Linked DNA regions of Arabidopsis thaliana. The protein of the gene in region 1 interacts with the protein of each later gene in a biochemical or structural test. Each region holds a gene or a part of one and is shown in the gene's direction. Other genes may lie near its edges.

Evidence for each region. Proteins that work in one complex are often made in the same cells at the same time.
Region 2: the proteins of DRM2 (region 1) and UVR8 form a complex in vitro, tested with the Arabidopsis thaliana proteins (one study listed by BioGRID).

The regions. Positions count from the first base shown.
Region 1 is NC_003076.8:4,716,613-4,720,367, reverse strand, and holds the start of DRM2 (domains rearranged methyltransferase 2), read left to right. Parts: upstream 1-1,663; 5' UTR 1,664-1,789; coding exon 1,790-1,912; intron 1,913-1,990; coding exon 1,991-2,123; intron 2,124-2,198; coding exon 2,199-2,248; intron 2,249-2,345; coding exon 2,346-2,445; intron 2,446-2,523; coding exon 2,524-2,570; intron 2,571-2,645; coding exon 2,646-2,750; intron 2,751-2,877; coding exon 2,878-2,974; intron 2,975-3,509; coding exon 3,510-3,607; intron 3,608-3,693; coding exon 3,694-3,755. Other genes in the region: SK13 (shaggy-like kinase 13), read left to right, coding at 1-93, 207-257, 400-495, 579-662, 744-846, 936-1,018. UniProt on the Arabidopsis thaliana protein: Involved in de novo DNA methylation. Controls asymmetric and CpNpG methylation. Required for FWA gene silencing but not for the maintenance of SUP gene silencing. Functionally redundant to CMT3 to maintain non-CpG methylation.
Region 2 is NC_003076.8:25,557,764-25,561,518, reverse strand, and holds the start of UVR8 (Regulator of chromosome condensation (RCC1) family protein), read left to right. Parts: upstream 1-2,019; 5' UTR 2,020-2,103; intron 2,104-2,534; 5' UTR 2,535-2,931; coding exon 2,932-3,025; intron 3,026-3,212; coding exon 3,213-3,399; intron 3,400-3,590; coding exon 3,591-3,737; intron 3,738-3,755. Other genes in the region: PP7 (serine/threonine phosphatase 7), read left to right, coding at 88-183. UniProt on the Arabidopsis thaliana protein: UV-B specific signaling component that acts as a UV-B photoreceptor and plays a key role in establishing UV-protective responses in plants.

The DNA.
Region 1 (3,755 bases):
GCACCTGAACTTATATTTGGAGCTACAGAATATACAACAACAATTGACATATGGTCTGCAGGCTGTGTTCTTGCTGAATTGCTTCTGGGACAGGTAATATGACTGTCCAAACTTTCCTCCATTTATCTTTTACAAATGATTTGATTTACCGAATGATGTCTAAAGTTATATATTACCAATCTTTGGCTTGTCCAACTTTTGGTTAGCCTCTATTTCCAGGTGAGAGTGGAGTTGACCAGCTAGTTGAGATAATAAAGGTACTTCAATTTGGTTAAACAAACACACATAATCCTAGCCATTGCTATATTGAACATAGAGTGGATCATTGATTATATGGAATGAAGAGGCTCCATTTCCTGCTATTGATTGCCATCATTTTGTTTACTGTGTGTGTTACAGGTTCTTGGAACACCAACACGGGAGGAAATCAAATGCATGAATCCAAACTACACAGAATTCAAATTCCCGCAAATAAAGGCTCATCCTTGGCACAAAGTAAGCAAACACATCATCAGTTTTTCCTTAACATTGATCTCCATATATTCTTACGATTGAAAAATCTGTTGTTGGTTCTTAAGATATTCCATAAGCGTACACCTCCAGAAGCTGTAGACCTTGTCTCAAGACTTCTCCAGTATTCTCCAAACCTCAGATCAACCGCTGTAAGTCAATGAAGTGATTACCATAATAACATTATGTTTGATATATCTGGTTGGTTGATTCAAACTTACTTGTTATTGTAGATGGAGGCGATAGTTCACCCGTTCTTCGATGAGCTACGTGATCCCAATACACGTCTTCCTAATGGTCGTGCCTTGCCTCCTCTCTTCAACTTTAAACCTCAAGGTCTGTCTCCTCCAAATATGCTTTTGTTTGTTTCCCAATGCTCCGTTTTAACAAAGACTAAAAGTGTGTGCTTCTTGTTAAATATGTAGAGCTAAAAGGAGCAAGTTTAGAGTTGTTGTCCAAGCTTATACCTGACCACGCCCGAAAACAATGTTCCTTCCTCGCTCTCTAAATCTCTTCCTCTCTCTCTATATATATGTGTGTGTGTGTGTATGTACACATGCATATAATATGCTTATCGTTTCTAAGTAATGGAGATAGCTTCTCAGGATTATCATTAGCTTTCATCTTTCATGTATCTTTGTTGTTTATTGTCTTATCACAACCTTTGTACTTTATTACATACAATGATTAGTGTAATGTATGTGACGGTCTTTGACTCGCCGGTCGCTACAGTTATGTTGGATACTAAATTATAAAATAAACTTCTCGCTCGTCACGTGTCATTGCATGCATCCAAAGCTCATGCTTCAAAGCTTAGCCAAACTTATTTTTAAAAAAGCCTATGTTCTGTGTAAAAGTGTCATTTACGAGAGTTTCTTGTTTAAGTTTAACCAATTTCACTTCCTCAAACGAAATACGGTAATTGGTAATATCCTCTAAACATGAATTATCATTGACTATAAAAATTAGTTTCGCAAATTGCCTCTAAGCACCACAAGTGTCACGTAACGTGTCATTTATTCATGTTTATTGATTTAGTTAATTAAAAACATTGTAGTTTAATTATTGAAGTAGTACAAAGAATAGGGACTAAATTGCAATACTCTGAATTTGTTTTTTTCTTTTTTAGAATCATCCGACTTTTTGTTTCACGGTTTCCTCCTCCAGTAAACTGACGACGATACAAGCTCTCTCACCAACGGCGACAGTATCTTTGCCGGCGGCGGGAGCGCTTCTGCTTAATCTGTAGCTCAAACTAAAAATTCTCTGGGTATTACTCATGGTGATTTGGAATAACGATGATGATGATTTTTTGGAGATTGATAACTTTCAATCTTCTCCACGGTCATCTCCAATACATGCAATGCAGTGTAGGGTCGAAAATCTAGCTGGTGTAGCCGTGGTAAGTGATCCAATCCAACAGTCATAAGTTTATGCCTAAGCAGAATCATTGCTTATGTGAATTTTTGTTTTGTTTCAGACAACTAGTTCTTTGAGCTCTCCTACTGAGACAACTGATTTAGTTCAGATGGGCTTCTCAGACGAGGTTTTTGCTACATTGTTTGACATGGGATTTCCTGTTGAGATGATTTCTAGAGCGATCAAGGAAACTGGTGAGGCTTTTTTCTCTTGTTTGTATTCCTTTCTGGATATATATGATCCGTAACTTGATACCAATAATTATACAGGACCAAATGTAGAAACTTCGGTTATAATTGATACTATCTCCAAATACTCAGTGAGTTTCTAATACTTTGATCTCTTGGGTTGCTTGTCATTTACATGTGCTTCTGTCATCACAGTATTCATATCCTCTCCTTTGTTTATTTGTGAAGAGCGACTGTGAAGCTGGTTCTTCCAAGTCCAAGGCTATTGATCATTTCCTTGCTATGGGATTTGATGAAGAAAAAGTTGTCAAAGCCATTCAAGAACATGGTACTTACAGATTTCTCTCCTCCTTAAGTAAGAAGTAACACTTTATCACTTTGCTGATATTTGCTTTATAAATCGCAGGAGAAGACAATATGGAAGCAATTGCAAATGCATTGCTCTCTTGTCCAGTAAGCGATGTTACGAAAATATACTGTCTCTTGACATTAAAAAAATAGTACTTAAAGTTCGTTGATGGTTTGTAGGAGGCTAAGAAACTGCCAGCAGCAGTAGAGGAAGAAGATGGCATTGACTGGTCATCAAGTGATGATGATACCAATTACACCGATATGTTAAACTCAGATGATGAGGTATAACTCTTTCATGTTGGTGATAACATATTTAAGCATCCCAGGTTTGAATTGTAAATGTATCTCACTGCTATTTTGTATATGTATCTAATTTTATGCGTTCTTAATCTATTTTAAATCATGACAGAAAGATCCAAACTCAAATGAAAATGGCAGCAAAATACGGTCTTTGGTGAAGATGGGTTTCTCAGAGCTTGAAGCTTCTTTAGCTGTCGAGAGATGTGGTAACTTTATTTTAAACGATTGCCATTGTCATTAAATTTTAGTTCCGTTTTGTTCAGGTTTCTTCTAGACAACGTCGTATAAATTGCTTGGTTTAGCCTCTGATTTAGTGGTGTAGGCCTTAGATGTGTTTGCTGAGCATTTTGATTGTATTTCACTAATCGAAAGTTGTCATTAGTTCTGTCTTAGCTTCTGGTTCTGTGATGTACGCCTTAGATATGTTTGTAGAGAATGTGATCGTATTTCACAAAATGATAAAAGTTGTCAGTACTTGATAAAATTGTATGTTCACTAGTTCCTTTTTATTCAGGTTTCTTCTAGAGGAAGTGGCATAAGCCAAATTGCTTAGTTTTAGTGTAATGTGATAGTCAAATTGTGGCTTTAGCCTCTGGTTCTGTGATTTAGGCTTGAAATGTGTTTGCTGAGCATTGTGATTGTATTTCACTAAATGATACAGTTGTCAGATGTTAATATATATCTCTTACTTACTCTAAGTATGTTGCTGCCTTATCCAGACTCATATGATTGTAATTTCAGGAGAAAATGTGGATATTGCAGAGCTCACAGACTTCCTTTGTGCTGCTCAAATGGCTAGGGAATTTAGTGAGTTTTACACTGAACATGAAGAACAAAAGGTACTGTTAAAACCTTTTTTATAATCTATCTTTTGTAAGTTAATTCCTTTGGGAACTGATTATTTTGGGAAATTTGGTGTATGCAGCCTAGACATAATATTAAGAAAAGGCGGTTTGAGTCAAAAGGAGAGCCAAGATCATCTGTTGA
Region 2 (3,755 bases), about 21 Mb from region 1:
ACTAACTTACGATGCTGATAATGAACCAACGAGTTGTTTTACTTCTTTGATACACATACATAGCGACATCGGTTTTTAAATGTGCAGGCGCATCCATATTATGACTTTGAAAATGTCATTGATTCTGATGATGAGATGGATAAGTCAGCAATGGACACCAATAACGAACAACCAAATAGCTGACCGAAGCTGAAAAGGAGTATCTTGAATTGATGTTTTTTACAGTTGTTGTGATTGCTCATTATTTGCAAACATAAAATGGAATCAAATGTAAAGAAAAGAGATGAAGAAAATCATTTGTAGAATTCACATTTAAGTTATGTATGGAAGATGAAGAAATAAGAACCATCTTAAATCTCATGTAGTTCTTAGTTTCTTGGTTCCTACACGTCTTATTTAAACCTAAATCTTGTAAGATTTTGCTCTGTTTTGTCAGGTTAGCCTAAATCTTGAGAGGTCAAACTTGCAGTAACTTTCATTGTATAGAATTGCTTTTAACTGAATGATAAATCGAGTAGTAGATTAGTCCAATGGAAGTTTGTGGATCAAGTTATGTGTCTGTCGGCATTATAGTTTTCCTTTGAAATATTGACACATTACTAGAATCTTATCCAACAAAAAATTGTGTGGTTATGAAAATCCTAAGTAACGAGACAGCTTATTAAATGCCGAATTTGGTAGCAATTTGTTCAGATGAATGTATGTCTTCTTGTAAAAGACAGTATGAAGTGGAGGTTGATGCTAACTATCTTATGGTTCCTTATTGCACTTTGAAGCATTTATTGCAATTGTTTTCGGTTTTTTCTCTTGAGTGGGCTAAACTAATAATGGTCTGTTCTTTCTCTAAAGAGAGAAGAATTCGACAGGAGCGTGAAGCATCTTCATTCGCAAATATAACACATTAAAGCTACCTCTAGCATCATCTGTGTGATTCTCTCCAAGGTCATTCGTTGTCTGTCACGGGGCATCTCAAGTAATAAAGCTTAAAGTTAACTGTCTTTTCAGCCAAATAGTTTCATCATCTAAATATTCACATGATCTTCCATATTTCATCACCGATTATGGTTACAACATTTTTGCAAACCCTAAAATTTGTGTTATCGCCAAACTTGACCCTTATACCGGAACCCATGTGGGTGGGTGTTGATTTTTACTGTTTTGTAATTTGTTCATCGACAATCATTGACATGTACTCACCGCAATGTTTTTTCTTTCCTAGTTTCATGTGCATATATGTCTCTAAACAGTAATTGTTTAGCACTTCATGTCAAGCTTAAATTATTATAGGTGTCTTATCTTGTCTCTCTAGTATTTTCTGTTGAAGTCATGTGCATTAAATTGTATATAGTACTTCCAATGGCTTTCATATAATTTCCATTTTTCCACAAATTGTTCGTAATGATGTTTATTTAACAAGATTATAAAAGATAATGCAACAAATTTGTGTGATGAATGATGAGATGAACCCATTTGAAAGAGGTCGCAACAAATGTCAACATTAGAGACCATCTTGATCTAGAGTTTTGTCTCGTTGACTTTAATGCCAAAATTGGACAATACATATAATGCATGTATCAGGCAATGCAAAAATATCTTCATTCATTTAATTTTCTTACTATAATAGATGTCACAACTTCCCTCACTGACAAGCATATAATGTTGGTTTTATCTCAATGTAAACAACCTTTTAGTTTCACATAAATGTTAGGTCGAGCGAGGTGATATATTCGTTCCAGATCGGATGAAACAAGTAATTCATCGATGTTACCTTTATCCATATGTATATGTAAGATTATGGGTTTTAGGTAATCTAGTAAGTACTACTAAGTAGTATCCGTATGTAATTTTTTATTTATTTTTATCCGTTATGTATAATTTCTTTGGCCGTTTTCGCAAAATCTATATTTGGATGTTTTAGATCGTGAATTGATATATCTTAATTTGAATATTTAGGTATTCATATATTTTGAATCTATAGTTGACCTGTTGACCATGTATTTTGATTTGAATATCTCGCTCGATCGATAGAAGATTTTTTTTTGTTTTTGTTTTGTTGATAGTAGAATCTTCAAGTTGTAATTTAACAAAAAAAAAAAAAATCAAGTTGTAAGTAGACCGTATATCTGTATATTTCCATATGTAGAACCATGCATTTTGAATAATTGAATAAAATAACATGTAGCAAGACGTATCTTCATATGATAATCAGAATCATAATAAAAAGACAAACTGTACACCATATTGTAATCCAGGTTTAATTTGACCTCTTTGAAAAACTAAAATAGCTGAACTGAATATTTATAACTAAAAAGACAAATTGGATATGTCACTTTGGACTATGAAACTCAGAATTTTTTTTGACTAACGTGTATACTTTCACACGTGTGCATGACTAAAAACATATGATTAGGCTCTTACGATCTATGCGCCTTACACCTGTGAATGATGAACACATAAAACACAAGTTACGATCTAGAATGTCATGTGTACTGGCTTAAATCTACTTATGTGAAGAGGTAAATGAAATGGTCAAGAAACAAAAAAAAAAAGAAATGGTGAAATTATGAAAGTATAAAACTTTACCGGTGAGGTCCGTATTTGGATTTATTAAGTGAAGAGGGACCCTTTTGCAATTAAAGCCTGTACGACAAAAAAGAGATTTACTGTACGGTTAAAACAAAAAATAAAAAAACCAGCAAAAGTAAAAAAGTCAAAAAGCAGATATATGACATGTGCAAATCTCCATCGCGCCTTTATTACCATCTACCGCTTTCTCTCTCTGTCTTTCCTTGTTCAACCCTCGAGAGATTACGGATAGTGAAAGAGAAGCTACAAAATTTCCCAATTTATCAAAAAATAGAAATTTCTTACTTTTTTCAAAATTCATTTCTCCCCAAAAAAAATATCTTGTGAAAACTGCAACTGTGATCCATGGCGGAGGATATGGCTGCCGACGAAGTTACGGCTCCTCCTCGTAAGGTTCTTATCATCTCCGCTGGTGCTAGCCACTCCGTCGCTCTTCTCTGTACGTCTCTCTTCTTCTTCGCTGTTTTTTTTCCTTTTCTATTACGGACTCAAATAATCACCGGAATTGTGAAATCCGCTGCTTTAGTAGGCTGTGCTCTTCGCGAATTCTCTTGATCTGGCCTTTAATCGAGTTTCCCTTACTTTCGTCGTCTACTAATGAGTAGTTTTATGTTTTGATTTTGTAGCTGGTGACATTGTTTGTTCTTGGGGTCGAGGAGAGGATGGACAGTTAGGTCATGGCGATGCAGAGGATCGACCTTCTCCGACTCAGCTTAGCGCTTTAGATGGCCACCAAATTGTTTCCGTTACCTGTGGTGCTGATCACACTGTTGCTTATTCACAATCAGGCATGGAAGTCTACAGTTGGGGATGGTTTGTTTCTCATCATTATCTTCTTCTTTGCTGCTGAATCAATTGCTCTTCAGTCTGTTTGATATATTCGGGATGAGATGATGACCACTAGTTCCTCTCTAGATTTTTGTGTAGAAAACAGTAACTAATTATACACTCATTTGCACATATTTTAAGCCTCGTGTTCTCTAACCTTTATGTGTACTTTGCAGGGGTGATTTTGGGAGATTAGGCCATGGTAACTCAAGCGACTTGTTTACTCCGCTACCAATCAAAGCATTGCACGGTATTCGGATCAAGCAGATTGCTTGTGGGGATAGTCATTGTTTGGCTGTCACTATGGAAGGAGAGGTCCAGAGGTATTTTCTCTTTGTTAT